4 linked regions of the Callithrix jacchus genome follow. The protein of the gene in region 1 purifies or fractionates together with the protein of each later gene. This does not show direct contact. Links are inferred from orthologs where the notes say so. Each region holds a gene or a part of one and is shown in the gene's direction. Other genes may lie near its edges. The genes, in order: MPDZ, AMOT, PLEKHA2 and YAP1.

Region 1 (7,457 bases):
TTACATGTGTCATTGTACTTAGAGCTAGCCAGACAGCATAGTTTGAGGGCACAGTCCTCCAGACTGCTAGTGCTGCCCCATACATCTGAGACCAACTGCAGTGAGTTAGGGTCCAGCTACAAAGTTAAAGGTATAGGGATACACAAAACCACCCTCACTTCTGACATCAGCTGCAAGTTTGCAAGGTTCCCCTAGCCCTAGCCACCTTGAGGTTTCATAATTCACTATAAGGTCTTAGAGAATTCTCTGAAATCTGTTATACTCATGATTATGATCTATTGTAGGGAAAGGATGCAATTAAGGGTCAGCCAAACAAAGAGATGCGTAGTGCAGATTATGGGCGGATTCCCAACTGGAAGCTTTCATTTTCCTGGGAAAGTATAACTTTGCCAGAATTCATGTGGGACAATATGTAGAGCGTACAGCCATGTGTCATTAGGTGATTGCATCCTTGTACAAACATCATAGGGTATACTTACACAAACTTAAGTGGTATAGCCTCCCACACAACTAGACTATATGGTATTGTTTCTAGGCTACCAACCTGTATAGGATGCTATATGGAGTACCTTATGTAGTTGTAGCACAATGGTAATTATCTGTGTGACTACAGAAAAAGCGCAGTAAATATATGGTTAAAAGATAAACAATGGAACACCTATATAGGACACACTTACCATGAATGGACCCTGCAGGCCTGGAAGTTATTGTAGGTGAATCAGTGAATGAGTGGTGAGTGAATGTGAAGGCCTAGGACATTACGGTGCACCACCAGATAGCCAGTGTATCTAGTATGCTATAGATAGCCAATGTAATGTTTAAGTTTTTGGTAACTTTGGTAACTTAATGAGTTTCCTGTTTTGTTTTTAAGAACAGGTAACAAACTCTTATGTATAGAGTTTATACATAACTTAATAAATACTGTACACTTAGGCTATACTACATTTACAAAAACGTTTGTTTCTTCAATAATAAATTAACCTTATTTTATTGTAACATTTTGCTTTATAAAGTTTTAATTTTTTAAAACTTTTGACTCTCATAATAGCACTTAGGTTAAAGTGCAAACACATGTAGAAATGTGTTTGACTGTGTTGCAAACCCAGGAATGTTACCTCATCTTGGTGTTCGAATTATTTTATTTTACTTTAAGTTCTGGGATACATTTGCAGAATGTGTAGGTTTGTTACATAGGTATACACGTGTCATAGTGGTTTGTTGCACCCATCAACCTGTCATCTATATTAGGTATTTCTCCTAATGCTATGCCTCCCCTAAAGAATTTTTTATTGGGGTGTTATTTCATAGGTGTGATTGATTGATTGTCCTGCCCACATGACTAAAATCTGACTCAGAGTTTGGGCTTATATCTGTGGCCCACCATGAAGAAGAAAGACACCCCATCACTCAGGAAATTCTGAGAGTTTAGAGGTTACTTCATGGGATCTGGGGACAAAAAAAAATGTTTGTGTGGATGTATATATTTATGTGTGTGTTTTAATGAGTACCCTGAAATTCAACCCTGGAGGTAATTGGTTTTTTTAATTTTCCCATCTAATAAATGGTGCTGCATTGAACATTTAGTGCTGCACACACATCTTTATTATCCTAACGTTTATCCTTGAAATAAATTTCCTAAAATAGAATTGCTGGATCAAAGGATTTGGACATTTTGAAATTTCATATGTATGTACTTATACCCTTGGGATATTTTCTATGCAATAGTTTATGGAATGTCAAAATTCTTAATAATCTCTGTATTACTCTTAGGTAAATATTTCGACTTCAGCAACTTCGAATACTGAATATGCCCACATTCCTCATCTCAGCCCAGCTGTGATTCCTACTCTGCAAAATGAATCGTTTTTATTATCCCCAAACAATGGGAATCTGGAAGCACTTACAGGATCTGGTATTCTACACATTAATGGGAAACCTGCTTGTGATGAATTTGATCAGCTTATCAAAAATATGGCCCAGGTAAGAACATTTCTTTCTGTTAGTTATTGTAATACCTGAAATAAGTTAAGAATGTGATCAAGTTGTGGATAATTTGAAGAATATAGTGATATTTATAACATCTGAAAAAATTGGAACAAAAAGGAAGTCAATTTTGTGGGAGTTTAGATGGTTCAGAGTTTTTCAATTATAGTTTCCTTATCACCATTTAAATTTGAGTATTATATGTTGTGTTATAGAAATTGTTCTTCAGGATAAAGTGCTAACAATGACCTTGGAAAAATTTTTTTTCATTTCTTTTTTTTTTTTTAACAAAGAAATGATTCTAATAAGATGACTGTTGTGCATCATTAGTTTTTAATTTAAGTTTCTTTTGAGATGTATCTTGCTCTGTCATCCACACTAGAGTTCAGTGTTGTGATCATAGCTTACTACAGCCCCAAACTCCTGGGCTTGGGATTCTCCTGCCTCAGCCTCCTGAGTACGTAGGACTATAGATGTGTACCACCACACTCAGCTGAGTTTTATTTTATTTTTTATAGAGATGGGGTCACATTATGTTGCCAGTCTGGTCTCTAACTCCTGGCTTCAAGTAATCTTCCCACCTTGGCCTCCCAAAGTGCTGGGATTACGGGCGTGAACCACCATGCATGGCCTGGCTTTTAATTTTATTTATTTCTTTGTTTTCTAAACAGGGTCGCCATGTAGAAGTTTTTGAGCTCCTCAAACCTCCATCTGGAGGCCTTGGGTTTAGTGTTGTGGGACTAAGAAGTGAAAACAGAGGAGAACTGGGAATATTTGTACAAGAGATTCAAGAGGGCAGTGTTGCACATAGGTGAGATGGTCACAGGATCTTCTTTTTGATAGCCATTCTGAAGGTTTTGGTCATTATGTGAGAATTTAGAAAAATAATAATGAATAGAAACAAACAAAAAATTGAATATAATGTTATTAACCAGTTTTTACAAGTCATTAACATTGTGATAAAAATAACAAGTCCTTTGAAGTGAGAGTAGCTTTTAAATATAGTCATAACTTGTTTTGATAAGGAAAGAAAAATTTGAGGATAACATTATTTTCATTTTTAATTAAATGAGCTCTTTTTGATTAGATTTTAAAAATTACTATACTAGAAATGATCCATAATAAATTGAGCTGCATATTATTTATATACCAAAAGCAACAATTTATTACAGTTGTCCCTCATTATCCATGGGGAATTGGTTCCAGGACTCCTGCAGGTACTAATAGCTGCAGATGCTCAAGTCCTTTATATAAAATGGTGTAGTATTTGTACGTAACCTGTGCATATCCTCCTGTATATTTCAAATCGTCTTTATATAACTTATAATGCCTAACACAATGTAAATCCTATGTAAATATTAATAGTCATACTGTATTTAAAAATTTTGTATGATTTTTTATTATTGTGTTATTTTTTCTGATTATATTTGATCCCCAGTTGGTTGAATTTATGGATGTGGAAACCATGGATATAGAGGACCAACTCTCTATGTATATCCACTTTCATTTTTAGAAGATAGGAATATCCAAGATGTAATGTAGGTTGAATGGGTGGCTGAAATAAAGAATGCTTTTATATGGAAGGGGCTGAGTAGGAGTAGCAGTGGAATAACCTTACAAGAATTGCTGACCTGCAGCCAAAGCATATTATTTTAAAGTAGAACTGCAGGAAAAAGATTAAAAAATGTGAGAATTGATGGGGAGAAATGCCAGATACAGGTATTGGGGAGGAAGGCAGCAAATCACACTGCCATGTGTGTACCTATGCAACAATCTTGTTCTTCACATGTACCCCAAAACCTAAAATGCAATAAAGAAAAAAGAAAAAAAAAGTGTGAGAATTAAAAACAGGATTAAAAATGACTTGAACATGCATGTCCAAGAAGCTGTCATTTCCTTGAGAACTCTCAGATGTCTTTTATTCTCCTTTTCATTCTTGATAGAGATGGAAGATTGAAAGAAACTGATCAAATTCTTGCTATCAATGGACAGGCTCTTGATCAGACGATTACACATCAGCAGGCTATCAGCATCCTGCAGAAAGCCAAAGATACTGTCCAACTAGTTATTGCCAGAGGCTCATTGCCTCAGCTTATCAGCCCCATAGTTTCCCGTTCCCCATCTGCAGCCAGCACAATTTCAGCTCACTCTAATCCGGTGAGTACCTACAATTTTCAAAAGGAACAGAACATATTTTTCGAGTTCTTTTTGGTTATCTCCAAGTTTCTAATTTGTGTAGGTTCTTTGCATTTCTTGAGTTTTTGTGTAACTATTCTTTCATCTTTCCTTAGCCTGGAATATTTGCCTTTACGTATGATAAAGCTTCTAGGTTCTAAAACAACCATTACTTTTCTTTGTGTAGTTTTTTCTTTGATAGCATTCCTTAAAAATGAAAAATGTAGTCTTTTAACAAAATTGACTTTATCTGTAGACAGGTACAATCTTGATTTTGCTTTAAAAATTATACAATTATATTGTTACAGTTAGCTGTCAGTGACTTTAAGAAGTCATCTAATTTGGCATCCTGCCTCAAGGCAGGTTTATGCGAAGACATTCTTAACATGTGACCTTCCTTTTTCCTTGATCTTTTTCTTTTTTTTTGAGAAGTTCTACAGACGATCTTGCAAATCAGTGTCTGTCTTTAACTGGTGAAATGAAATCATTATGATGATACATTGATAATTTCAAGAATGGTTCTATCCATAGCATTACATTCTGTTGAAAGGCAAGTATACCAAATGAAAGGGACATTGTTAGGGCTCATTTTTATGTCTGAATTTAATTATTTAATATTAACCAAATAATAATCACAAAAATTTCTACTGTAATATAAAAAGTTCTTTGCAAATTTCTACAAATTCATATATGAGCTTTGTTTGTAGGTTCACTGGCAACATGTGGAAACTATTGAATTGGTGAATGATGGATCTGGTTTGGGATTTGGCATCATAGGAGGAAAAGCAACTGGTGTGATAGTAAAAACCATTCTGCCTGGAGGAGTAGCTGATCAGGTAGGCTACACAATAGATCTTTTATGCTAGTTTATCAAATAATATGGCCACATCTTTCACATTTTTTGTTAGAGAGAAAAAACTATGGCCTTAGATAATGCCAAAGAAACTGAGTTAGAATCTTTCATTTTATTGAGTATCCCTGAAGTGTTGTCTTAGACCTGGGGGAGGAATACTTTAGAAAAGGTATTAAGTTATAGTTTTAAACAATGGGCTTTAACACTTTTGAACCTCAGACTAAAGCCAGGGTTATGGATTTGATAATTGTGGATGTAGCTACTATTATTATTTATTACATTTTAGGTTTTGGGGTACATGTGCAGAACATGCAAGATAGTTGCATAGGTACACATGTGGCAGTGTGATTTGCTGTCTTCCTCCCCTTCACTCACATTTGGCATTTCTCCCCATGCTATCCCTCCCTAGCTCCCCACTGCTGTCCCTCCCCTATTCCCCCAAATAGACCCCAGTGTGTAGTGCTCCCCTCCCTGTGTCCATGTGTTCTCATTGTTCATCACCCACCTGTGAGTGAGAACATGCTGTATTTCATTTTCTCTTCTTGTGTCAGTTTGCTGAGAATGATGTTCTCCAGATTCATCCATGTCCCTACAAAGGACACGGACTCATCATTTTTGATTGCTGCATAATATTCCATGGTATATATGTGCCACAATTTCCCTGTCCAGTCTATCATCGATGGGGATTTGGGTTGGTTCCAGGTCTTTGCTATTGTAAACAGTGCTGCAATGAACATTTGTGTGCATGTGTCCTTATAGTAGAACGATTTATAGTCCTTTGGATATATACCCAGTAATGGGATTGCTGGGTCAAATGGAATTTCTATTTCTAGGTCCTTGAGGAATCACCACACTGTCTTCCACAATTGTTGAACTAATACACTCCCACCAGCAGTATAAAAGTGTTCCTTTTTCTCCACGTCCTCTCCAGCATCTGTTGTCTCCAGATTTTTTGATGATCGCCTTTCTAACTGGCGTGAGATGGTATCTCAATGTAGTTTTGATTTGAATTTCTCTAATGACCAGTGATGATGAGCATTTTTTCATATGTTTGTTGGCCTCATATATGTCTTCTTTCGTAAAGTGTCTGTTCATATCCTTTGCCCATTTTTGAATGGGCTTGTTAGTTTTTTTCTTGTAAATCTGTATGAGTTCTTGTAAATTCTGGATATCAGCCCTTTGTCAGATGGGTCAACTGCAAAAATTTTTTCCCATTCTGTTGGTTGCCGATTCACTCTAGTGACTGTTTCTTTTGCCGTGCAGAAGCTGTGGAGTTTGATTAGGTCCCATTTGTCTATTTTGGCTTTTGTTGCCAATGCTTTTGGTGTTTTGTTCATGAAGTCCTTGCCTACTCCTATGTCCTCAATGGTTTTACCTAGATTTTCTTCTAGGGTTTTTATGGTGCCAGGTCTTATGTTTAAATCTTTAATCCATCTGGAGTTAATTTTAGTGTAAGGTGTCAGGAAGGGGTCCAGTTTCTGCTTTCTGCACATGGCTAGCCAGTTTTCCCAACACCATTTATTAAACAGGGAATCCTTGCCCCATTGCTTGTTTTTCTCAGGTTTATCAAAGATTGTATGGTTGTAGATATGCTGTGTTGCCTCCAATGCCTCTGTTCTGTTCCATTGGTCTACATCTCTGTTTTGGTACCAGTACCATGCTGTTTTGATTACTGTAGCCTTGTAGTATAGTTTGAAGTCCAGTAGTGTGATGCCTCCTGCTGTGTTCTTTTTGCTTGGAATTGACTTTGCTATGTGGGCTCTCTTTTGGTTCCATATGAAGTTCATGGTGGTTTTTTCCAGTTCTGTGAAGAAAGTCAATGGTAGCTTGATGGGGATAGCATTGAGTCTGTAAATTACTTTGGGCAGTATAGCCATTTTCACGATATTGATTCTTTCTAATCACGAACATGGAATGTTTCTCCCTCTGTTTGTGTCCTCCCTTATTTCGTTGAGCAGTGGTTTGCAGTTTTCCTTGAAGAGGTCCCTTACGTTCCTTGTTGATTATATTTCTAGGTATTTTATTCTCTTTGAAGCAATTGTGAATGGCAGTTTGTTCTTGATTTGGCTCTCTTTAAGTCTGTTATGGGTGCATAAGAATGCTTGTGATTTTTGCAAATTGATTTTATATCCTGAGACTTTGCTGAAGTTGCTTATCAGTTTCAGGAGTTTTTGGGCTGAGACGATGGGGTCTTCTAGATATACTATCATGACGTCTGCAAATAGAGACAATTTGGCTTCCTCCTTTCCGATTTGAATACCCTTTATTTCTTTTTCTTGCTTGATTGCTCTGGCTAGAACTTCCAGTACTATATTGAATAGGAGTGGTGAGAGAGGGCATCCTTTTCTAGTGCCAGATTTTAAAGGGAATGCTTCCAGTTTTTGCCCATTCAGTATGATATTGGCTGTTGGTTTGTTTTAAATAGCTTTTATTATTTTGAGATACG
Region 2 (8,111 bases), on another chromosome or scaffold:
ATGCAAGGTGTGCCATGATTAATGATTTCACTTGTAAGGAACAAAAAGGGAATAGGCACTCATGCTTGAATATGCAAATAATCTATTTGAAAGATGACATACAGTCATAAAGAGCATGGGACTATGGGAGCAGAGTGGTGGGGAGGAACTTTTCACTGTAGTCTTCCATTATTCTTTTTGAGATGGAGTCTTGCTCCGTCACCCAGGCTGGAGTACAGTGGTGTGATCTCGGCTCACTGCAACCTCTGCCTCCTGGGTTCAAGTAATTCTCTGTCTCAGCCTTTCGAGTAGCTGGGACTACAGGCACGTGCTACCACATGTGGCTAATTTTTGTATTTTTAGTAGAGACGGGGTTTCACCATATTGATCAGGCTAGTTTTGAACCCCTGACCTCAAGTGATCCACCCGCCTCACCCTACCAAAGTGCTGGGATTACAGGCTGAGCCACCGTGCCCAGTCCAGTACTATTTTATTTGAATTTTTCCATTTCATGTTTAACTTTTTTCACTTGGACAGCATTGATTTTAACAAGTATGCTGTTGCCACTGTGATTAGTAGTAGTCCTGCAGCAAGTACTGCCCTCCCATCTAGTTCTCCTATCCACTCCAACAACAAGGCTGAAATAATCTTCCCTTGCTTCACAAACCAGGTATCTCCATATCTTTAACGTTCAAAAACTCACTTTCTCCATGAAAAATCACTCAAATGACCTCACTTCATACATAAACTGAATCATAACCAGAATCATTTTGTGCACACTCCTGCTTCTGAATATTTCCACAGAGCATGCTGGACACTCCATGATGTGCAATCGTCCCTACTTTTCCTGCACTCAGAGTTACAGTCTGAGCCCCAGTTTACTGTGTGATAGTGTTTCCTTTAAGCACACTTCCTCTTGCATGCCTTGATCCATGGCCTCTCAGATGGCTCCCATTAGGCAGGCTTGAATTGGATGTCACTCTCATGGGCATGAGCTCATTATATCAGCCTTGTGCTGTCAAGGCCTTTACAGTTAGGCTTGCTTCCTACTTGAAATATTTTCTAGGAAATATGGATCTGTAGAGAATGGTGGTTTCCATGGTAAATGTTCCTTCATATTTGTTTTCTCAAGTTCACTTTGCAGATACACAGCATGATTTCCTCTTTCAGTACCAGAACCACAATAGCTTTAAGTTGTCATGAAACCGTAGAACTTTAAAAAAGAAATCTCACCCACCCTGCTTAGAAAAGGGGTAATTTATTATTCTAACTGCAGGGAGTCAACTTCATATCCATCTCCAAAATTGTAGGAAAAGAGCTGATTTTTAAAAATAAAGCCACAAAACCTACACGACCTTGGATGTAAATGCTTAAAACAGATGAACAGAATATTAATTCTCTAACACATGTAAGACTCTCCACTATGTGTCATACACAAGTAGGAACACATACATGTTGGAGTGCTTTAGTTTTCACACACATTTCATTTTCACTCCAGTGCCATTAATTTAATGGCATGTCTTACAGCATTTATTTACAGGTAGAAAAATTAAGGCTGAGAAGTTAAGCCACCTAACATTAGTCATACAATTAGCTAGTAAGTGCCAGAGCCCCAAATGAATTCTTCTTTTGGTTCTCAATTCTATGTTATTTTGCTACCCCTACACTGTTTCTTTGTGCCTTCGTTTTCCCAGATGTAAAATGGTAGATTTTCCGTGTCCCAGTATACTGTTCTCAACCCTCTGTTTTTAACCAATATCAGTTTTTTTCTTCCACAGCCAGGAAATGTGAACGCCACACTGGCACTTCATGTACTTTTCCCCCTCCGGATTTAATGAATTAAGGGGAAAGAAAAGTTACCTATTCGTGGAGGGCTGGACAGTGCTATAAACATAAAGGCGTACCAGAGTCGGCCGACACACTGCTGCACTCTTTTATGAGACTGAGAAAGCGTCTCATCTTTCTCTTCCCAGCGGTAGCTGGGGTAGAACATAGAGCTACACAATAGCCTCTTGTTTAGTTTTATTAATTTTGAGGACTGGTGGGACAAAAGGATCAGACTGGCGACTCCCGGGCCCAATCGCAAACGTATACTAGGCCAGGCCCGGCCAACCAGTAGCGGCAAAAGAATGGTGGGCGGGACTTACGCTTCAGGGGCCCGCTCCGCCCAGGCCGCATCTAACAGCCCGCCCAGGGGCGGAGCCTCTGCAGAGCCCCGCCCACGACCCCCTCCTCCCTCGCCCCGCAGCTTCTGCAGCCCGCCATCGGGAGGCGGGGGAAACTCCCGGGGTGGGGGAGCGGAGGAAGAAAGGAGGGTGTCTCGCAGAGCTGTGACCTGGGTGGGGGCCTGCTAGTAATAGGAAGCGAGAGGGGAAGGAAAACGAAGGAGCACTGCTCCTTCCTTCATTATTTTAAGCAGGCTTTGGTGGAAGCTGCTTTTCAGCATTTCTATTATTTGCTTTTCTTCCTCCCGCTGTGGGGCGGAGAGCTGCACTGGCTCTCCCACGCGAGTATGCCGCGCTGTTGCCGTAGGTTATTATTGTAGTCTTTTGCAAAACCCTTTCCTTCTCCCCAGCCAGTCCCCGCGCAGACTCTCACGGCTACGGCAACCGAGTCGTGCCCCTCTAGTGGAAAGGCGAGAGCGAGGGTCCCCAACTTTCGCCCGAGCTCTCGGACCCCGCGGTTTAATTGTTTGAAACTTCCCCGCCCCCCGGCCCCGCCTCTCTTCCGCGCTCTCCTCGCTCCTCACTTCCAGGGTCCAGGCAAGCTCCCGCCCTTCTTTCCCCGCCCTCTACTCCGCCTTCCTCCCCAGTCCACCCGCCCTGCCGCTCCGGGGCGGTCCTAGCCGCTCACCGCAAGAAGAAAAGCCACCCGTTCGTCCCCCTCCCCTACCTCCCATCCTTTGCCCAGGAGCTGCCTTGGCAGTCACGCCCCTTCCTTCCGAGGAGCTTTCTGGCTGCCTAAACTGGTAGACCCCCTGAATTACTCCTCCGTCTCCGCTCTCTTTCGCCTCCTCTTCTCTTAGTTCTCTCCGCCTCCCCCTCCAACTACCACCACCTCCAGTCAATCTCGCCTCCGACCATCCGCTGCTCCACCCTCTGGCCCGGTATCCTGCCTGTCCACTGCCACCAAGGAGAGCCCGGACGGAGCAGCGAAGAGGGGAGCAGCCAGGAGTTGGGGCTTCCCCCCTGCCCATCCCTGGCCGCTGGCCCGGGACCGAAGCCACTTGAGCGAGCAGAGAGTCGTCACCTTGTCTTCGTTGCCTTCAGGGGTAGGAGACGTGTGGTTACTTTTTGCGGGGAACTGGGGCAGGAATCCATGGTGGCATGAACTTGGTCGTGCCCTCGGCGTGAGTGAATCGATCTAGGCGCGTGTGAGAATGCCCGTGTATTCTGCTGTCTTTGCAGCTGGCCATGAGTTTTTCAGGATGTGCAGCAAGTTAAATCGGTTAGAGTGTGCGCTGCTTTCCCGTCCTGCTTAAGTGAGGAGATGCTAGTGGGTACCACTACTAGATGGTATTTTTACTTCCTTGCCTCCTGGGGTTCTTCTGGGTCTCTAGGAAATTAATCACATTGAGGAGCTAAAGACCCGAGGGAAGCTGAAATCTACTTTTAGCCTAGCATGCAAGTCAGTGCTTATCTCAGATAACTAGATAGGTTTCTCCTAAGTGCTTAGGCTTGGGGTGTGGACTCACACTCCCTGAGGCGGGAGAAGGAGGGGTAGGACCGTGAATTCTTGAAGTTTTAAAGTCTGCGTAATCTAAAACATAAGGCTACTTTTTGAAATGTGTGGTGGTGGTGGTGCTTGTGGTGGTGGTGATAGTGGTCATGAGGAGGGAATTGCCCCTATCTACTTTAGAAGATCCAAAGATGTTAGTAAATAGTTTTGGGGGATCAGGCAGGTGTCTTGAGGGTCCAAGCCTGGGCCACTGTACGTTGGTGCTTCAACAGTAAGATGGACTTCGTGGATATGTGAAAATCAAGAGAAAGAAAAGTGGGAGTAAAAATACGCCTTTATAATAGACTATGAGCAGTTCCTGGTAAATTTCCACTAATAATAATATAATAATGTTCATAAAGTGACTAAATAAGATTAAATGAGCAAGGAAAGAGGAAGTTGGTGAGAAACAGCATTTTCAATCTCTAGCGTATGTTTTAGAAAGAATTTTTCAACAACCTAGGATGTTTAGTTCAGTTCTCCTCCCTCCGTGGAAGTTGGGAGGCAGTTTAAAACTTTTATGAATATAACCCTCTTCTCCCATTCAGAGAGGAAGATAATTAGTCACCATAATCTTCAATGATGAAGGGCTAAGGGTATTTAAGTCTCCTTGAGCTAGGCTTTGTGAAAAGTTCTTTCTCAGGCCAGCCTTTGTGAAGCCTTCTCAGACCTTTCAGCACCCTCATTTAGTAGCTAAGAATAGTTTGAAATGCCATTTTGGATGTGGGATACATTTTCATCCATCTCCCACCTATCTTCAATTGGACAAGTGCATCAAACTTGTAAGTCGTGGTGTTCAAAGACTTATTTCTGTGATGTCCTGAACTCATTGCTTATTTGGGAACACATTATTTACATACATTTAAAAATAGCTTTGGTTGATTTTAATGAGGGAAAGGAAGGTAGGAAGGTAGAGAAGGAACGTTACATGGCGACAGTTTTAAAGGCTATCCTGTTTCAGATCAGCTGGGAGGGAAAAGCTGGCCTAGCCAAACTACATTTTATAACTGGCCTGGGACACTTTAACAGCCAGGTGGTTGTAGAATAGTTGCATCTATTTACAGATGATAACTCAGGTTCCAGCTATTCTGTATGGGTTTATCCGGTGTCATCGACAGACACTTTCTGGCACGACATCATACTTCATTTTAAATTACTTCTTTCTTTGGAAAAGTTTGTGGCTTTGTAAAATTGAAAGTGTTTTTTTCTACCTTCATGGTGTAGATGTGAAGTAAACCTCGTTGTATGTGGAGTCACTTTTACATGAAATTTGTGGATCTGTTTAGCTATTTAAAAGATTTTAGAAAGGGAATTTTAATAATTAATAGTCAATTCAATTTTGGATTTAGAAATTAAAATCTCATTTCCAGTTTATGAAGTTGGATTTATTAGACTAATTCCCAACTAGGACATTTGTAGAGTTGCTTTCTCTGAGGTTTTGTAAAGACCACATCAGACTCTAGAATGCTTTAAGAATAGCCTAATCAGAAGGCAGGGGGATGGATACTATGACCTTGAGGTCCCATTGAGTGCCAGAATTCTAAGTGGGTACATCTGCTTCTGTGCCTCTCCTAAGAGCCCTCTCCCAGGGCCTGCGCCTTCTTTAAAAGGGTGTCTTTGTAATTAAGCAGCCCTTCTTCCCCATCCCCCTTTCTTCCTTTGATCCAGCTTTTTAAGGCCTTTTTTCCATTTGGAGACAAGAGGAGTTTCTCACACTTTCCTGTTCCCCTCTTAACGTTTCTTGTCCTTTACCTCAGAAAAGTCCCCTGAGGTTCTCAAGATGGTTAGAAGTTTTGTTTTGTTTGGGGCGTGGGGGTGGAGTGGGGGAGTTGTTACCAGTGAGGAGGAATAGAGGATATATTCCCGCTTGGGAAATGCTTGCGACCAGGTAGCCTCCTCCATGGAGACTGAGCATTTGGAATGCATGAGAACAGTCTATTCTTGGGGACTGTCTGGTAGAAATTGTCCTTTGCACCCATTAAGCCCAGCTTAAACACATTGAAAGGGGTGGGGAGAGGTGTGTGTGGTCGTAGTGGAGCCTTTTAGGATGGTAAATGGGTAAATGTTTCCAAATCTCCTATTACATCATCTCTTTCTCCCATGGATTCAGTAGGTTTAGTGATCTGCTTGACAAGTTAATTAGCTGGGGACTAAACCAATTTGTTTAGAATTGTGATCCATTGATTTCCTGTCCCCAGGAATTTTTGTTGGTGTTTTACTATGATGTGTTGTCTTTAGTCTTACTTACTTTTCCCTCCTTGCTGCCTTTTGTGGACTTTGGTCCAAAATCTAGGGTTCCACCCCCAAGTCAAAGGTTAGAATTTTGTCCCGGGAACTAAGGGGGTATTAAACAGGCTGGCCATACTGCATTACTCTCCTCCATGGTGGGCTTCTGACCCCTTTTAACCCAGAGAAAGGAGGGAAGTCGCCCCTTCCACACACAACACACACAATCTGAACAAAAAAGAAAAAGAAAAAGAAAGAAAGAAAATAGGAGGTCATTTGCTTTATAAAAGAATCCACAACAGGTTTCTTTGTAAGTACTAGCTTTCCTAGTTAGTGCCTTTAAACTGTGACTTGATATATAAAAATTCACTCTAACTGGGCCTTCTCAGAAGTATATTTATTGCATAAAGGAATACATAAGAATTTGTAATGATTATCGCTTAAATGAAGTGAGGCCATTATTTGGCCTTTGAAATCTTTTTGTTATATGGAATGGAGTTAGTTAATTGTCTAAATCATGCTGGCTTGTAATAATGCTGGCCACGTTAGCTCCGGCCTACAACTGCTTGCAGAAGAGAGCTAGTATTACTTTTTGAAAAAAAATCAGACTTTATAGATTTTGAACAATTCTAAGGCTGAGACTATCCACTCCATATAGGTAAAATATTTTATTTCCAGTCACTGTATTTGACTTACCCAGGGATCCAGAAAGTTATTTCTAGTAAATAGTGGCGACTGATGCCATTTTTAACCTAAGAATCTGCAATAAGATTTCCTAGTGAGCCTATTGGTGAGAAGGATCTGGGCTCTAGGCCCAACTGTAACTCGGTTTACTACTTCTGTTAAGTTTTTTTTTCCACTGTAAATTGTGGGCTCGGACAGGGTGATTTTGAGAGCCAGTTCTCATAAGTTTAAGGTTTTCTTTCTAGGCCTCAATATCTAGTATGAATGTGAATGATTGCTACTAGAAGGAAGTGCAACAGTTGTTAGAAATTCAGTCATCTAGTCATCATGTTAAAACAAAAGATCCTGTAAGGATATATCAATATAGATGCATTATGTTTTATATTTTAACAACTCCAAATTAAGAAGCTAAGACTCTGCCTAAAACTTTATCAAGAATTCCATCATCCTAGCAGATCACCTGCTTTCATTTTTTCTAGTTCCTTTCAAGTCCTGGTTCCTGTACTAACATGAATTTTAGATAATTAAAGCCACAGATATATGCAATGTTGCTTTTCAATAAGAGCCCACCTTAGACTTAGCTTTGTAAACCCATGTGGAGGAACGAAGGCAGAATCTGACCGAGGACACATGAAGACTCCCATATATTTTGTTTCTCAAATACCAGGAGACGTTAACAGATATAAGTAATCCCTAAACACTTTCTGTGATTCAGGAGTTGTTCATGTATCTAGCAAGGCTGTTAATTCAATTCCTTTGACCTCCTGTTATCTCTACCCTATTCTTGTTAACAACAACAACAAACTAGGGTTCTCTGTTTACTTTGTCTATATCAGTTGGCAATGATTCTTAAATCACTGTATGGTGATATCCCATCAAGTGAGTACAAATTTGGGTGGACTATGAAGTCTCCAGAATGAGTAAGGAGAAGCAGGAAAGCACAGATATACTTGTTTTATAGCATGGAAAATAATATGTTTAAATTAGGCGAAAAGATAGCAGAGAAACTAAGGACTTTAGACAGTTAAATAAAAGACATTAGGTAAGCAGCAGAATGTGCCGTGCATAATGGGTTCTTCATCCGAGATCTTCACTATGTAGTAAAAGTTCAGTTTCATAGACCTTTAATTTTCCTTTGATAACAAAAGTATGGTATACATGTGATCTTTAAGATTTGATGAATTCACTGGGCGCTGTGGCTCACACCTGTAATCCCAGCACTTTGGGAGGCAGAGGCAGGTGGATCACCTAAGGTCAGGAGTTCGAGACCAGCCTGACCAACATGGCGAAATCCTGTTTCTACTAAAAATACAAAATTAGCTTTGCATGGTGGCACATGCCTATAATCCCAGCTACTTGGGAGCCTGAGTCACAAGAATCCCTTGAACCCTAGGAGGTGGAGGTTGCAGTGAGCCAAGATCACACCATTGCACTCCAGCCTGAGCAACAAGAGTGAAACTCTGTCTCAGAAAAAAAAAAAAAAGAAAAAAAGATTTGATGGATTC
Region 3 (7,893 bases), on another chromosome or scaffold:
GGCCAGAGGCACATGTAGCAGTCAGTGGGGTTCCAATGGAGAATGAGCATCACCCCAAGTACACTGACGATGACCCTCCCTCAGCTCAACATGTTCTTGGCCTCCTCTCACTGTGGTCAAACCCTACCCATCTCAGTTCTATTTCAAAGCCCACTCTCTTCTTGAGCTCCCCCCACCGTACCCCACACAGAGACACACTTCCTTCTTCTTTTTTTTTTTTCTTGAGACAGGTTCTCACTCTGTCACTCAAACTGGAGTGCAGTGGCATGATCATGGCTTGAATTACTGGGCTCAAGTGATCCTTTCACCTCAACCTCTCGAGTAGGTGAGACCACAGGTGCATGCCTGGATGATTGAATTGCTTTTAAATTTTTTGTAGATATGAAGTTTCCCTAGCTTCCCAGGCTGGTCTCGAACTCCTGGGCTCAAGGGATTCTCCTGCCTCAATCCCCCAAAGTGCTGAGATTACAGGCATGAGCCGCTGCCCCTGACTACATCTTGTCTTTCTAAAAGCTGACAGTACTTACTCTCTGTGCCATTCCCAGGTCATAAGGCTGCTGCAGCCTTCTAGAGACACTTGTATTCTCTTGCCACCCAAGGCCTTCTGCTTCTCTTTGCCTCCCAGCATCCAATACAGTAGTGCTTAGGAAATATTTGTGGCTCTGTGATGGAGTGGCTCAGGCAGCCCCATGGGGAGTAGAGTTTTGAGTTTAATATGAACCATACCATGAAATCTGAGAAATCTACCTCATTGCTCATACTGGAAACCCTCTGTTCCACTCAGATTTGCTTGGAGCTGGATGAAACTGTGTTGCTTTTCACACTGAAAATGATCATCTAATTTTTAAATTAAAAAAAGTTTACATAGCACCTACTTCATGTTGGACAGGAATCTCAACACTTCACAAATGTTAACTCACTGACCCTTCCTAACAAACAGACATTGAGAAGTTAAATAACTTGCCCAGAGGTCAAAGCCAATACGTGGTAGAGCTGGGCTTCAAATCCAGGTTCCTGGCTTCCAGAGATGCTCTTCAGTTTGTTCTGGTGCCTGAAACGTACAGATGAGGGCCAAAACCCTCCACACACAGGGGAAAGAAAAAAAAAAAAGACAACATTGATGTATTTATTTCAAGGGATTTTTTTTTTCTTGCTTCCCCCCTTTCTTCCTCATTCAAAGCAAAATGCTCTAAAGCAGTCTTTTTTTTTTTTTTTTTCCCCACACCTAGAGGAGACAAGCGCGGCTCATTTTTTTGCTTTGGCAATCAAAATAGAAGAGAAAACTTGTGTGGTTTCATCACTGGTGCTTTCGAGATGTGAGGGGCGGGCTGTCCTTCTCCCTCTGGCTCATTGACCCTAGACCCCTCCCCAGGAGTTGTGGCCTCGGGTCCTGGAGACTTAAGGGGGCCGCCTTTCCACTATGACTCCGGGAACGTGCCCCAGCCTCTCCCGCCTTCCTGCAAATCCAGTCCTTGTCCTGAAGAACCTCGGCGTCTTCTTACGCCCGCCTCTCTCAAAGTTTCTTAGGCTTTACACCTGATTAATAACGTTTGCATCAGGATGGCCAGACCCCGGCGCACCGCCCTGCAGGCCCGCGCTAATCCATTACATTGTCATGTTTCGGATGTTGTCCTCCTGACTTGATGCATATTCAAATGTCTCTCTCCCCACGTGGGAGGCCGGAGTCAGAACCTGACAGACCTGCCGTTTACTAACTGGGGACCCAGAGCAAATTACTTCACGCACCTGAGTCTCGGTTTCCTCACCGTGAACGGGATTGGTACCTATAGGTTGCGGCGTGGATCGAATGAGATAGCGCAGGGGCGGCATCGGCGCACAGCAGCTCTTAGCTCCTCTTAGCGACGTCTACGTAACACATGCTTGTCTGTTTCCCATTTTCCCCAGAGCACCCTCAAGCTCTCGCGCCACACCGAAAAAGTCCCAGCGGTCGCGCTGTAGGTACCTGTGGGCCCAGCTACTGTGGAGGCTGGAACAGGAGGATCGCTGGAGCCCAGGAGGTGGAGGCTACAGTGATTGTGCCGCAGTCCAGCCCAGGCGACAGAGCCAGAGCCTGTCTTAATTAAAAAATAATAATAAGAAGAAAGAAATTAAAGTTCCTATAACCCTGGTTAGAGTGTTCCGGGCCACTGTCTCTCAGGGCACATTTAGGACAACCTGAAGTAGCCACTCTTCTTGGGACCCTAACCCTAACCCTAACCCTAACCCTAACCCTAACCCTAACCCTAACCCTAACCCTAACTCCTCGGCCCCCAAAGGCTCTTAGCTCAGGATCTGAAGGAGGCCGGGCTGAGGCCGCTGGGTGGGGCTCTGGGAGGAGGAAATGGGGTTCCCGAGGGAGCCCGCGCTCCAGCTCGCCTCCTTCTGCGAGGACGCCCCCCTGCCCGGACACCTGCTGCCCGAACGAGCGTCGGGGCCCGGCCTCCCAGCGGGGCAGTCTCTGGGCGCCCGTCCCACTTGCGCGGCGTGGACCCCGGGCTGCCTCCGGCGCAGCCTCTGGGAGCCCCGCCCCGCCTCCCCGGCGCGGCCCCGGCGCCCAGCCGCGCCCCCTCCCAGCCCGCGGCGCCCCGGCACCCCTCTCCCTCCCAGGCAGGCTCCGCAGAGCATTGTACTCACATCCGGGGCTGGGTTTTGCTTTAATGCGAAACGTAATTAACCCGGAAAAAAGAGCAGAGGGACTGGAGCGAAGGAGGGGGTGCAGGGGGAGACAAGAGCTAGGGGAGCCAGAGGCGCGGAGAGTTTGGCAGCGAGACCCAGAAATCCACTGAGCGCGGCGGACCCGGCGGACCCGGCGGACCCGGCGGCCGGAGGGGCGACCCCACCCGATGTAACGCGCTTCGCCTGAGCCCCGGCCCCCGCACGGCGGGGTAAGTTGGGCGCTCTCGCGGGCCCAGGAGTGGAGCGGAGCAGAGGGGCGCGGGGCCGGCAGGGCTGGGGGTGCAGGGGGCGCTCCGGCGGGGCCAGGCGGCCTAGGGGCGCTGGGGGCGCGCGCGCGCAAGGCTGCGTACGCCGGTCCTGGTGGCTGACAGGCGAGGGGAGGTGGCCGCAGACCCAGGAGGCCTCCTCCAGCCCTCTGGGAAAGCCCCGAGGGCAGCCCATCCTCCAAGTGCCCCCGGTGGCCAAGGTCGCCGCCGCCAGGGGTCGGGCTGCGGGGGTGGGGCCGCGGGGAGGGTGGGGGCGGGAGTTCTGCTGAGCTGCATTTTCTCACGTTTGCAGCGGCGAAACTTCTCTGCGGGTTCTGGAGCTAGGGCACCGGCCCCGCAACGACTGCCCGGGCTGCGGGAGGGGAGGAGAGCAGAGAACGTCCCCAGGCAAGTCCCTCGGGTGCGGATGGGGCCGTGGAGACTCCTCTTTCTCTTCCCCCACTACCTTTTGACTTGACAGGCTTAAAAGGCTCCCCTAGGGACACCCGTCCTTTCCTCTGGGTGCAGCCTGGCCTTTGGGCTTCTGGAACTCCAGGAAATTGGAGAGAACTGCCCTAAAATGCAGGTTCGGTGCCAGGTTGGGCGAGCCCTCGAGGGGAGCTGTCGTTCTTTCTCTCATCAACTTCTTCCTCACCTTACACGCTTCCCTTTTCTGCTCCATTCCTAAAGACGATTTCACCAAAATTTTTTTTAAAAAAAGAAAGAAAAAAGAAGCGTGGTGGTGGTGCGGGGGGAGCCAGGACGTTTTCAAAGGAAAAGGGTCTCCGTACGTCCAGAGAGGGGAGCGGGGCCAGCGGAGGCCGCAGCACCCTCACATCTTCTCCCGGGGCCAGCCCTGCCCCCAGGCCCTCGCCTTAAGGTTTGGCTTCCTTCCTTCTTGGTGAACACAGGTTCAGGATGTATCTTCCCCTTCTCATTCCTTCTTCCTGCCCGCCCTCTTTCTTTCTTTAGGGTTCCAAGTGGGGTTTTCAGAGGACAGTAAACGGCAGAGAGGAGGGAGGGGAGAGCACCCTATCAGGAAGCCAGCTGTGTGGCTCTGGGGGCTCTGAAGGCTGAGCTGTAGGTGCAGTTGGGGCTGAAGTCCTCAGATTGTACAAATGGTGTTCTTAATGTATCGGACCAAGTCCCTTTTTCCCTTTTGGTGTGGAAGATTTCCAAACCGTAAAGCAAAAGATCTTGAAAGAATGGAAGTTTTTGTTTTCTATATCGGTTGCATTCAGTTGACATGTATTATACATGCAAGGCAGTGATGAACAAAACACATCTCCTGCCTTATTTACTTATCTTTTATTTTTCCTTTACCTCTGGAGGGCTGGAACTTATCTTCTGGGACCTTCCGGGACTTGTAAGCATACTTGTTTTGAGAAGCCAGAGTAAGCTTTTAGAAAGCATCATCATCATCCCAGATGTTAGCCTTCTTCACTATGTGCCACTTGAAGGCAGGTGACTTTTGCACTATCAGAGGTCTAGCTTGTAGTCTGGATTATGGCCAGCCCAACATATGACATGTACCAGGTGCTAAGTAAATGTTTGTTGCATTAGTGAATGAATGCAAACACATGCATTGTCTGCACTTCTCCAAATGGCAGAGAAAAGAGCAGTGCGTTTGATCCTGAAACCTGTAGCAATTTGGATCACCAAGCTGGTACATGGGAGTTATTAGTCCGGATGTTGCCTTTACACCTAAATATCCTTTGGCCCTGTTTGTACATTACAGCACACTTTCTGCAAATTGACTGTAGCAATCCTAGTGGAGTTTTAGCTGGCTGGTAATGGGAGCCTTGCTCATTTCACAGATGGGTAATTACCTTGGTGTTGGTTGGGAAACCGCCTGCCCTTTGGTGAAGAGTTTTTGCATACCTTTCTTTTTCCTTGTTATTGGTGCTTTCTTCTCTCTTCTGTGTAACGAAGTAGGGCCTGCAGATGCCATCATGTCATGATAGTGAGCTGAACCATATTCAGCTCGGTATTTTAGAATGGTTAAAATAAATCTTGAAGACCTGCAGGTTTTGTTTCTGCAGAAGTGGGAAGGGGAAGGCTGATGAACCCTCTCAGCTGAGCTCCAGAGCAGCCCTCCCACTACCTTGCCAAGTGTTTGCTGAAGTGCTGGGATACTAGGAAGACCCAAGCAGCAGGAAGTGTGTGCATCCACCGGCACTGGTCTCCTTCATGGGACAGATGGACAGGTGGGTGGTGCCCCTGCTGAAAGGCTGGATGACTCAGATGAGAGCTCGCTGCAGACCACAGTGCATCAGAGTCTCTCTTCTGATTCACGGAAACTGCTGTGGCTTGACTTATTCTGGCTGTGATAGACCTAGGGCTTGGAAAAGAGGATCTGGGTGCTGGGATGTTGGGTTGCTCTGCCCCCTCCCTCTCTTTCCACCACGAACAGTTTGGGTTGCCTTCCTTTCCATTTTCCATCTGTCTTAGTGAGCTGGATGGGACTCCAGCAATCTAATCTGGTAGGCTTTGGAAAGGAAGGAAGCAGAGCAAATATTATAGTGTGACAGCCTATGGGAAGAGAAAAATCCTGGCCCTGCCTGATATAAGCCCGTTGTTCAGATGGGGAATTGGGCAGGCGGGGGGAGATAGGGCAGCCGGGAGGTGGGAGGGATGCGGTCTCATCCTGTCGGTGGAGGAGGCCAGGGGTTGGTGCAGTGAGACTCTACTGTTCCTTCTGAAAGCCCCTTTCCTGCCCTGACTCCAGTTGATTGAAGTGATTTGTTCAGCATTAAAGCCTTCTCATTGCGGAGGTCCCAGCCCTGCTGGGGCAGGGGCCTCTGATACTGCCCAATGTGGGCAAAAGTCTTGGGGGGCTTTGGCCCTGTGGTGTGCCTTTTGCCCATAGTGCCTGGTCAGCTCAGATGCAGAGGATGGGAAGCTGGGTCCTCTTGTCCTTATACTCTTGAGAAGCACTGCAGTTAAAGTGCGAGGTTGGGCCTTAAATTCGGCTGGGCCCTTGCGAAACAGCCCTCTGATGGTGTGATTGCCTGTGGCTGGATCAAGAGGCAGCTCTAGGGCCCTTTCCTTGGAAACCGATGAGTATGTCTAGGTTTCTGTTAACTCTCAAGGTAGCCTGGCCAAGGAGCCAGCGGATTGCCCGGACTTTTTGTTTTAAACCCGCTGGATAATTTTTTTTTAGACAGAGTTTCACTCTTGATGCCCATACTGGAGTGCAATGGTGTGCTCTCAGCTCACCGTAATCTACACCTCCTGGGTTCAAGTGATTCTCCTGCCTCAGCCTTCTGAGCAGCTGGGATTACAGGCATGCACCACCACTCCTGGCTAATTTTGTATTTTTAGTAGAGACGGGTTTTCTCCGTGTTGGTTAGGCTGGTCTTGAACTCCCAATCTCAGTTGATCAACTCACCTTGGCCTCCCAAAGTGCTGGGGTTATAGGCATGAGCCACTGCGCCCAGCCGAGAATTTTTAGAGATGTAAAATGCGGTGGTTCTTGGAGTAGAGGGAAGAGTGAGGGGAACTGATGCCTTTCCCTGTGAGAGGGATGTCAGAGTCGCAGCTTTTTCATTGCCATTTGCTCACTGGCGTTGGAGGGGTGGAGGTGCCTGTGCAGCAGCTGCCTGCCCTAGGTTAAGCAGCTTTGCAGTGGTAATGATGACCATGTGCTCCTTGTTAGGCACCCACACATGAAGTTTAACAACAACAATATTTACCCAATGTCTGCTGTCCAGGGCTTTTCACACGCTGTTTCATTTAATCCTCACAGCAGCCTTTGAAGTAGGTAAAGCAGTTATCTCCATTTTGCAAATGAGGAAATAGACCCTGAAGAGTTAAGCAGCTTGTCTGGGTTTGCATCCAGGTTTGTCTGGCTTGAGACTCATAATCTTTCCCTTCACTCCACTGCACAGATGGGATGGGTAACTGAAATCAACACACCCTTTTGAATGGTCATCTTCTTGCAAAAGATCCCTCAAAAATACTCATATTGGGCTGGGGGTGGTGGCTCACGCCTGTAATCCCAGCACTTTGGGACACTGAGGTGGGTGGGTCACTTGAGGTCAGGAGTTACAGACCAGTCTGGCCAACATGGTGAAACCCCATCTCTACTAAAAAAAATAGCTGGGTGTGGTAGTGCTTGAAGCTACTAGGGAAGCTGAGGCAGAAGAATTGCTTGAACCCAGGAGGCGGAGGTTGCAGTGAGCCTAGATCATGCCACTGCACTCCAGCCTGGGTGACAGAGCCAGACTCCATTACACACACACACACACACACACACACTCACTCATATTGGCTGGATGCGGTGGCTCATCCCTGTAATCCCAGGCTTTGGGAGGCTGAGGTGGGAGGTTCACTTGAGGTTAAGAGTTTAAGACCAGCTTGGGGAATCTAGTGAGGGCCCCATCTCTACAAAAAAAAAAAAAAAGTGAAAAATTAGCTAGTTGTAGTAGTGTGTGCCTGTAGTCTCAGCTACTCAGGAGGATTTTTTGAACTCAGGAGTTTGAGGTTATAGTGAGCTATGATCGCACCACTGCACTCCAGCCTGAGCACCAGAGCAAGACCCTGTCTCTAAAAAAAATTTTTTTTAATACTCAATACTAGTTATTGTCACCTGCACATCGTCCTTACCACTCCTCCTTCCCTAAATCAGAAGCACTTGTCTTTAGAGGGACACAGCTAGGCCATTTACCCTTCCCCCTCACCACTCCCCTACCCTAACCCTGACACTTTGCAAAAGGCCAGTAGGTCAGGGAAATGATGTTTTCTTTTCATTCTCTTGCTGCCCATGTATTAGTACCCTCTGGTTGATATGGTCCATTATAAAATGAAGGTTAGAGTTTCAGGACTCACAGCTGTTGTTAGGGAGCCCTACAGTGAAACTGAATTTATTGTGGGGGAACTTTCACAATTCCGAAAGTTGGAGATCTCAGCTTTTACAGGCTGTGCAGCCAGTGTGGCTGCGTGCCTGCACCCGTGCCCTTTCTGGTGATGG
Region 4 (8,164 bases), on another chromosome or scaffold:
CCATGTTGGCCAAGCTAGTCTTGAACTCCTGACCTCAGGTCATCCACCCACCTTGGCCTCCCAAAGTGCTGAGATTATAGGCATAAGCCACCATGCCCAACATGAGAAGTTTAAACAATGAATTATGATTTTCAAACTGAATTGGCAAGGATGTTGTCTTAGTCTGTTTGTGCTGCTATAACAAAATACCACAGACTGGATAATTTATGAATACTAGATATTATTTCTCACAGTTCTGGAGGTTGGGAAGTCCAAGATCAAGGCAGCAGCAGGTGTGCTGTCTGGGGACAGCTACTTTCTGCTTCCAAGATGGTGCCTTGTTGCTGCATCCTCTGAAAGGGATGAAGGCTGTGTCCTCACACAACAGACAGATGAAAGGGCAAAACAACTGGATGCTGTGTGAAGCCTCTTGTATAAAATTCTTAATCCCATTCAGAAGTGAGGAACCCCATGACCTAAACACCTCCTAAAAGCCACACCTCTTTAATACTGATGCATTGGAGACATTTCGACACGCATTTTGGAGAGACACAAACATCCAAACCATAACAGAAATGAAAAGAGAAGGGAGCAATAGGTTGCAGAAAACGGAGAGGTTAAGGATAAATGAGGTGTACGTAATGAAATGAGAGAACCAGATGATTATTAAGAATATGGTATACCATAGTCTGATTTCACTTCTGGAGTATTTCTGGATGATGACAAGAGTACAGATGTAGAGGCAGGTGCCCACAGTGAAGTAGAGATGAGGGTCCATTGTAGCTGAGAGGTTAAGTAATTGGAAGACAAGTGTTTTGAGATAGTGATCTACATGGACATTGAAAATGGTCCAGGATAAGGGTGGATCTTTGTATGAAGAAGATCCTTTGTATGACAGCATCTTAAAATAGGGAGTCTATTTTAAGATGCTGTCAACTGATAATTGCTCTGCAAAATGGCCAGAAGAGGAAGGAGCAGACAAAGGATTGAATATGTTATCTTTATCCCCTACTACCCTGTGACTGAAATTGTATAAACGAAGAATAGTAAGTTACAAAATTGTGGTTGATGATACAGAAGTGCTTACAGAACATAGTCATTCCAAAGAGCCTTTCGCTCCACTTATCAAAGTAATTTTGTCCTCATTTTAATGGCAGGTAAAACAATATTAAACAAAGCAGCCTCTGCTATATCTTAAGCCCTTTAGTTAGTGTTTGTAGTAGTAAATGCTCTAGTAAAGGGACAACATCCATTTCTTTTCTTTTTATTTTTGAGACGGAGTTTCGCTCTTGTTACCCAGGCTGGAGTGCAATGGCGCGATCTCAGTTCATCGTAACCTCCGCCTCCTGGGTTCAGGCAATTCTCCTGCCTCAGCCTCCTGAGTAGCTGGGATTACAGACACACGCCACCATGCCCAGCTAATTTTTTGTATTTTTAGTAGAGACGGGGTTTCACTATGTTGACCAGGATGGTCTTGATCTCTTGACCTGGTGATCCACCCGCCTCGGCCTCCCAAAGTGCTGGGATTACAGGCTTGAGCCACCGCTCCCGGCCATCCATTTCAATCCCAGGTTTTCAATCACTTTGATTCTTTTTTTGAGACAGGGTCTTGCTGTGTTACCCAGGCTGAAGTGCAGTGGTGTGATCTCAGCTCACTGCAATCTCCACCTCCTGGGTTCAAGTGATTCTCATGCCTCAGCTGCCTGAGTAGCTGGGACTCTAGGCACATGCCAGCACACCTGGCTAATTTTTGTTTTTTTAATAGAGACAAGGTTTACCATTTTGGCCAGACTGGTCTCAAACTCCTGACCTCAGGTGATCTGCTTGCCTTGGCCTCCCAAAGTGCTGGGACTACAGGCATGAACCACCATATCCGGCCCACTTTGGTTCCTAAAGTTTTCTTTCAGGCAAAGTTTTTAATGCATAGTTTCTGCCTAAAGGTTTTGTTTGTGTAGACTTATTATTGGATAAGAGAGGAAGGGACTGCCAAAAGGGTCCCTAAGGCTGTGCTTAGAAAGAGAGAGCTGCTGCAAGGAAAGGCTATGTCACTATCCGTGAAGTAATCTGTGAACACAGGACAATGACCACTGACACTGATGCAGAACTCACTGGTGCAGGACACTGCATGTCCCAAACTGGGCTAAATACTTTATATCCACTGACTCATTTAATGCCTCAACAACTATGTAGGTGTTATTACCCCAATGCTAATATTAAAGAACAGGAATTAAGTAAGTTGTCCAAAATCTCACAGCTAGTAAATGGCAGAACTGGGACCTGAACTCAAAACTCTGTAACTCCAGAACCTAGAGATTTGTCATTAAATGCACTTGACATTTGGAAGTAGAAACAAATCCGGGAAGCAGTCATCGGTGTCATTTACACTGATCCCTTTTTTCAGACAGGAAACTGGGGGTTCAGAGTAGTTGACTGGAATCTTCTGTTAGAATTTTGAGTGTCTGAAACCTGCTACCCTGGCCCAGCCCAACCACACCAGGTGATACGGATCCTTCAGAATTCTACCGGGCATGTTCTGGCTGGAGGAAGAGATTATCTTTTTGCTCACGGACTTTTTCCTTGCTTAATCCTCTTTATACCTCTTTCACTAGCATTGTAGACAAATCATTAAAACAAGAAAGTCACATTTCCTTAGAATGGGCTAGAGCATTTAAATTTAGACTGATGTTGCACAATCCTATGAATATACTAAAAAAAATTCAATGCTTAAATATACAAATATGTACAAATATTACTTAACATTTTATGGTATATGAATTACATCTCAATAAAGACTTTTTTTTTCTTTTTCTTGAGGCTAGTCAAGTGAAGCAGTGGGAGTGGAGAAGGAACAAAGAAATCTGTAACTGGTTGCGATCAATTAGTTGTAAACACCACTGCACTTGGACCAGCCAATAAAGATGCTTTAAAAAAAAACCCGAGAGTGTGACTTAAAACACACATTTCCATTGTTTTTGAGTGGTTTCCAATGAGCTCCTTGCACATCGCGTGCCTGCGGTGACCTCCTTGCCCATTCATTTCTTATTCAGTCCACATTCACAGAGTCCACTGTTGGGCCAGGCACAGGGATAGCAGGGGTAGGACCCAGCTCCCAGAGGATGAAAGACAGGTAAAGAGGAATGAATGCTTGTACCTGAAGAAGCACTGATTTTTTGGGTTGAGGCTTCCAGTGACTATGCTGCAAATTCGAGTACTAAAAAAGTTGATGTGATTTCAGTATTTAGAAAAATACTGAGAAAAATACGCAGTGTTTTTGTTTCTTTTAATAAGTTACAGGGAGTCACAGACCCAGTCTCAAAGCTTCAATTTCAGTAACCATTTATCCTTTCCAAGTGAGTTTTTGCATACCAACACATAAATGAAACAGAATTACAAAATAAAGTTAATGCTGAAAAAAAAAAAGGACCTTTATTAACATTAGCGCCGCCTCACAGTATCTATTTTAACTCCAAGCTATGCTCCCGGCTTGAAGCCCGCACTGGCGCTCCGCTCGGTCGAACCGGGGTAACGCGTGGAGGTGGGTTCGCACATCCTCTCTCCACTTCTTTCGACCTTGGCCCTTTCGCAGGTCCCGGCGAGCTGGAAGCGCCTTTCCCGAGCCCGGGCGAAGAAGGGGCCGAGCGGGGCGGAAGGACTTCCTGCGGCCAAGGGCGGCCGCCTTCTCCGCAGAGACTACAGTTTGGACCCAGATTGGACTCAGCGTTTGTGGTTCGCGAGGCGGAACACAGGGCACGCTCCGGGCCCCTGCCCGGCAGAGCGCGAGCGGAGGGCGGACTGGGCCCGGGTGGGCGAGTCACGTGCGGCCGGGAGCGGCGCCGCGGGCCGGGAGTGTGCAGGAATGTAGCAACTTGCAGCGAAAAGTTTCCCTGCGCGGCAGACTGGGCCGCGGTGCGGGCGGGCGCGCAGAGGAAGGAAGAGCCGGGAGGCGGGGCCGCGGCGGCGCGGGCGGGCGCTTCTCCCAACTTTAGTTTTGGCGTCTGAGGCGAGTTTCTGTCTCAGTCGGGCGCAGCCGCCGCCAGGGAAAAGAAAGGGAGGAAGGAAGGAACAAGAAAAGGAAATAAAAGAGAAACGGGGAGGAGGGGAAAGGCAACCAGCCGTCCGGCCTCAGTCAAGGGAGTTGGAGGGAAAAAGTTCTCAGGCGCCGCAGGTCCGAGTCCCTCGCAGCCCCTCCCGAGGCGCAGCCACCAGACCAGTGGAGCCGGGGCGCAGGGGATGCGGGGCCGCAGCACAGTCCCCCGGCCCTGAGAGCTAGGAGAGCGCCGCTCCCACCGCCCAGCCCGCAGCCCTCGCCGTTTCTCCACCTCGGCCCGTGGAGCCGGGGCGTCCGGGCGGAGCCTTCGCTCGCCTGGTCCGGGGGTGCGCATCGGGGGAGGCAGAAGCCATGGATCCTGGGCAGCAGCCGCCGCCTCAAGCGGCCCCCCAGGGCCAAGGGCAGCCGCCTGCGCAGCCTCAAGGGCAGGGCCCGTCGTCCGCACCCGGGCAGCCGGCACCCGCGGCGACCCAGGCGGCGTCACAGGCACCCCCCGCCGGGCATCAGATCGTGCACGTCCGCGGGGACTCAGAGACCGACTTGGAGGCGCTCTTCAACGCCGTCATGAACCCCAAGACGGCCAACGTGCCCCAGACAGTGCCCATGAGGCTCCGGAAGCTGCCCGACTCCTTCTTCAAGCCTCCTGAGCCTAAATCCCACTCCCGACAGGTAACCTCGCCGCCCCTCTCCCAGCTTCCCCGTCGGGCGGGCCCCAGGCTGGGGGGCGCTCGGGAGTCGCGGCCGCCAGCTCTAGCCAGGGGAGGGGGGGTTGCGGGAGGTCTTGGGTGGGGGTCTCGCGGCGAAGTGGAGGAACTGGAGGCGTCCCCTTGGCTGCGGTGACCGGCTCCCTACTCTTCCCAGAGTCCGGGGCTGAGATTTGTTTTTCCCCTCTGAGTTTCTCTCTGCGGTTGCAGCCCCGGCGGGCGTGCTTTCCCTCTTCCTTCCTTTCTTTCTTCCCGGGGTTCCCGGGAGGTTGGCGGGAGTGGCGGGGGTGTGGGGAGGAAGGAAGGGGGTGGGGAGAGCCGGGCCTGGGCCGCGGTGGGCTTGCACAATGCGCGCGCCTCCGCGCGCTCCGCAACTTCGCTCCCGCCGGGGCCGGGCCGGGAAAGGGGGAGGGGGGCCTCTGGCATTTGTGTGTGGGTGAGTTGCCAGCGGCGGCCGAGTTTCTGAAGTTGAGCCCTGGGCCCCTTTCCTTTGGGGCCTCTCGGTCCACTTCAGTCTCCTGGGGAGTCAAATAATTGTTCTCTTGTTTTCCAATGTTGATTAGGGGTGGGGGTTGAACCGGTCCATTTAGTTTTTTTGCTCGCTCTTCCCCCCCCCGTTTCCCCTCCCCCTCCCGTAAGCTTTTATTTTCTTCGAGGCTCAAGCGCTTTTAGAACACAGGTTTCGGGCTTTCCCTGCCCAGACTTTCCTGGAAGTTGTTTATGGAGTTCTTTCACACCCCCCTGTGCTTCCCTTGTGTCTTGGAACTTGGGCCGGCTCGCTCTTATCAAACTTAGTAGGTTGCGTGTTGGTTTCCCAATTGTAGACTATTATTTACAGTCGGCTGAAACGCTTTTAAATTAGCCACATCTGTACGTTGCGCAGGAACTGAGTTGCACTTTACTGTACCGACGTTTTAACACAAGCCTTTGATAATACACTGCAGGTTGACCCATAGGCCAAGTCCTGCCTAGTTCAACTGTGATTAAAAGTTAATGTTTGGGAAGCGATGACTAATTCTGGAATCGCCATTGCTTTATAATTCTTATTGCGGATATGAACATGGCTGCTTTTCCACATACACAACGTTCGATCATTTTGCCAACTTGATTCAGCATAGAAGTGAAACTATTTATAATGAAAGTGTTAACATTCCGATAGGTCCCCGTGGATTTGTTTAGGGTTCTTTTTCTTTCCTTTTTTTTTAGAAAGAACTTGCTTGAGGCTAAACTTGAGCATAGGAACTTTGCCCAAAAGTTAATAGATTTTCCAAATACTGCAGTGTAGTTAGCCGACTCGGACTGTAACTTGAGTGGAAAGAGTTACCGCCCCCACTCCCATTCCCTCTCCTATTTGCAGGCCTGTTGTATATTCTCCTGTCGGGTTTTGGAACTCAGAAAAGCTCACTTAACCTGATGACAAAAACCCGGGTTAAGGAGGAGGAAGGAAAAACAATTTAGCTTCTTGCCTAAACACTTCAATTTGTCAGAAGTAGACTTAGGTGTGCTTTTTTCTCATACCCCTGAAAGTGGGTTTATGGACTCATTATGGGTAAATACATGTTGGCATGCACCTTACAGACAGTGTATTTTCAAAGTATAATAGACATAGATTGAATCCCCCATTTTGTGGCATCTATCAGCCACAAAGAATCATAACTGGAAAGTGTACTTTTTCTTCTAGTAATTTTTACGTGAATTTCTATCCAGCAGTTCTAAAATTCAGAGTATTATAGTTTTATTTTTAATAAGTTTTTAAGTGTTGTGCATCTGTAAATTCGACTTTTATTTCTGCTAACGATTTCCTAAATCACACTTTTTCTGATGGGAAACAAAGAAAGGTCCATCACTTAAAGGCATGGATATGACTCTACTAAGTCCTTCCAGTTTCCTTACCTTTGTGAATCTAGGAAATTCTTAACTTTTTGGTAATCAAACTCTAATTCTAATTTTTAAAATTTAGATATGCAAGATTAGGAGTAGAACAAATCTAGGTTGCAAATACTATTATTCACAAACTGGTGACTAAGTTTTATGTACATCCATTTTTGTCATGAAAACTGTTTTACAAACGAGAAAACAGGCATATGGAAGTTAAGGTATTTGTTCAGTGTCACACTAGCCAACTTGGAGTGCGGAATTGTTTCTGCTCATAAAGAGTTGTGGATGTGTGTCAGTTATTAAGTTATAATTGGACTCATAACATCTTTATCTTCTACATACAAAGATACAGTTTTTTTTCCATCATGTTCATTGTAGATGGCTTTTAAGAACATTTGGGCAGTTCAAGTTTGTCGATTTCATTACAAATTGTGTAATTTGTTACGATTTCTTTATTGTTGGCATTTTATGATGGGAAAAAATGACAAGGGTTTGTTCTTACTTGGCCTTGACCTAGGGAAAAAAAATGAATTACCTAAAACCTAGTAAAACATGCATATTATTTGTGTTGTGTTTATCCTTAGAATATTTTAGGACTTGGAAAAGCACCCATATTGCATTGACCTTTTAAAAATTAGGTTTTAAAATTTACTATTATTTTTGGAATGTTTTATTTGTTTCAGTACTAGTTGCCTTTACATGTCTAGTGTATAGTAGGTGGAAATTCATTAGATGGACTGCTCATCAATAAAACTACAAATATTTATAAAGTTTATATTAAAATTATATATTAAAAGTATCCATTTGAAAACCTGTGCTCTCTGGTGTCAAATATTAAATGTTGAAATTTTCCTTTGGTTCTTAGACATTTGGCTGCAATTAAGCACTGACTGGGAAATTTAAAGGGACTCTCAAAAAAGTTTTTTTTTTTTTCTTAATTTTTCATGTTAATATTCCTAATAGGCCAGTACTGATGCAGGCACTGCAGGAGCCCTGACTCCACAGCATGTTCGAGCTCATTCCTCTCCAGCTTCTCTGCAGTTGGGAGCTGTTTCTCCTGGGACACTGACCCCCACTGGAGTAGTGTCTGGCCCAGCAGCTACACCCACAGCGCAGCATCTTCGACAGTCTTCTTTTGAGATACCTGATGATGTACCTCTGCCAGCAGGTTGGGAGATGGCAAAGACATCTTCTGGTCAAAGATACTTCTTAAAGTAAGTGAAAATAATGGTGGGAGACAATTATCTAAGAAAAATATGTATTGGAAAAGATAGTAAAGCAGTGTCAAGATATAGAATATTATTTGTTTTTATGTTTTACTTAATATTTATGTTAAGCTCTGTTATATCTTCCATATATGTTTTTTAGTTTGGTATGATCTAAATACGTTTGTTAGCATGGATAATATTTTGAAAGCTTTATTGAGTCTTGGTTCTGAACCTCTCTATAATCTTTTCATTTGTGGAAGTTTGGTATTTCTCATTTTGAGCTTGTGCCAAACTCCTGTTAATTAGCCTAGCACTAAACAGAAAGAATACCATGAAGATTTTCAAAT

Evidence for each region.
Region 2: the proteins of MPDZ (region 1) and AMOT purify together in Homo sapiens (affinity purification with mass spectrometry; 4 studies listed by BioGRID and IntAct, with this or other methods). This does not show direct contact. The link is inferred for Callithrix jacchus from reciprocal best matches to the Homo sapiens genes MPDZ and AMOT.
Region 3: the proteins of MPDZ (region 1) and PLEKHA2 purify together in Homo sapiens (affinity purification with western blotting; 3 studies listed by BioGRID and IntAct, with this or other methods). This does not show direct contact. The link is inferred for Callithrix jacchus from reciprocal best matches to the Homo sapiens genes MPDZ and PLEKHA2.
Region 4: the proteins of MPDZ (region 1) and YAP1 purify together in Homo sapiens (affinity purification with mass spectrometry; 6 studies listed by BioGRID and IntAct, with this or other methods). This does not show direct contact. The link is inferred for Callithrix jacchus from reciprocal best matches to the Homo sapiens genes MPDZ and YAP1.

The regions. Positions count from the first base shown.
Region 1 is NC_133502.1:119,759,667-119,767,123, reverse strand, and holds part of MPDZ (multiple PDZ domain protein), read left to right. Parts: intron 1-1,770; coding exon 1,771-1,980; intron 1,981-2,654; coding exon 2,655-2,794; intron 2,795-3,926; coding exon 3,927-4,140; intron 4,141-4,865; coding exon 4,866-4,994; intron 4,995-7,457. UniProt on the Homo sapiens protein: Member of the NMDAR signaling complex that may play a role in control of AMPAR potentiation and synaptic plasticity in excitatory synapses. Promotes clustering of HT2RC at the cell surface.
Region 2 is NC_133524.1:109,161,499-109,169,609, reverse strand, and holds the start of AMOT (angiomotin), read left to right. Parts: upstream 1-2,869; 5' UTR 2,870-3,250; intron 3,251-4,349; exon of another isoform or gene 4,350-4,478; intron 4,479-8,111.
Region 3 is NC_133514.1:39,733,776-39,741,668, forward strand, and holds the start of PLEKHA2 (pleckstrin homology domain-containing family A member 2), read left to right. Parts: upstream 1-2,689; 5' UTR 2,690-2,885; intron 2,886-3,234; 5' UTR 3,235-3,329; intron 3,330-3,547; exon of another isoform or gene 3,548-5,128; intron 5,129-7,893. UniProt on the Homo sapiens protein: Binds specifically to phosphatidylinositol 3,4-diphosphate (PtdIns3,4P2), but not to other phosphoinositides. May recruit other proteins to the plasma membrane.
Region 4 is NC_133511.1:37,538,693-37,546,856, reverse strand, and holds the start of YAP1 (transcriptional coactivator YAP1), read left to right. Parts: upstream 1-3,994; 5' UTR 3,995-4,378; coding exon 4,379-4,696; intron 4,697-7,572; coding exon 7,573-7,823; intron 7,824-8,164. UniProt on the Homo sapiens protein: Transcriptional regulator with dual roles as a coactivator and corepressor. Critical downstream regulatory target in the Hippo signaling pathway, crucial for organ size control and tumor suppression by restricting proliferation and promoting apoptosis.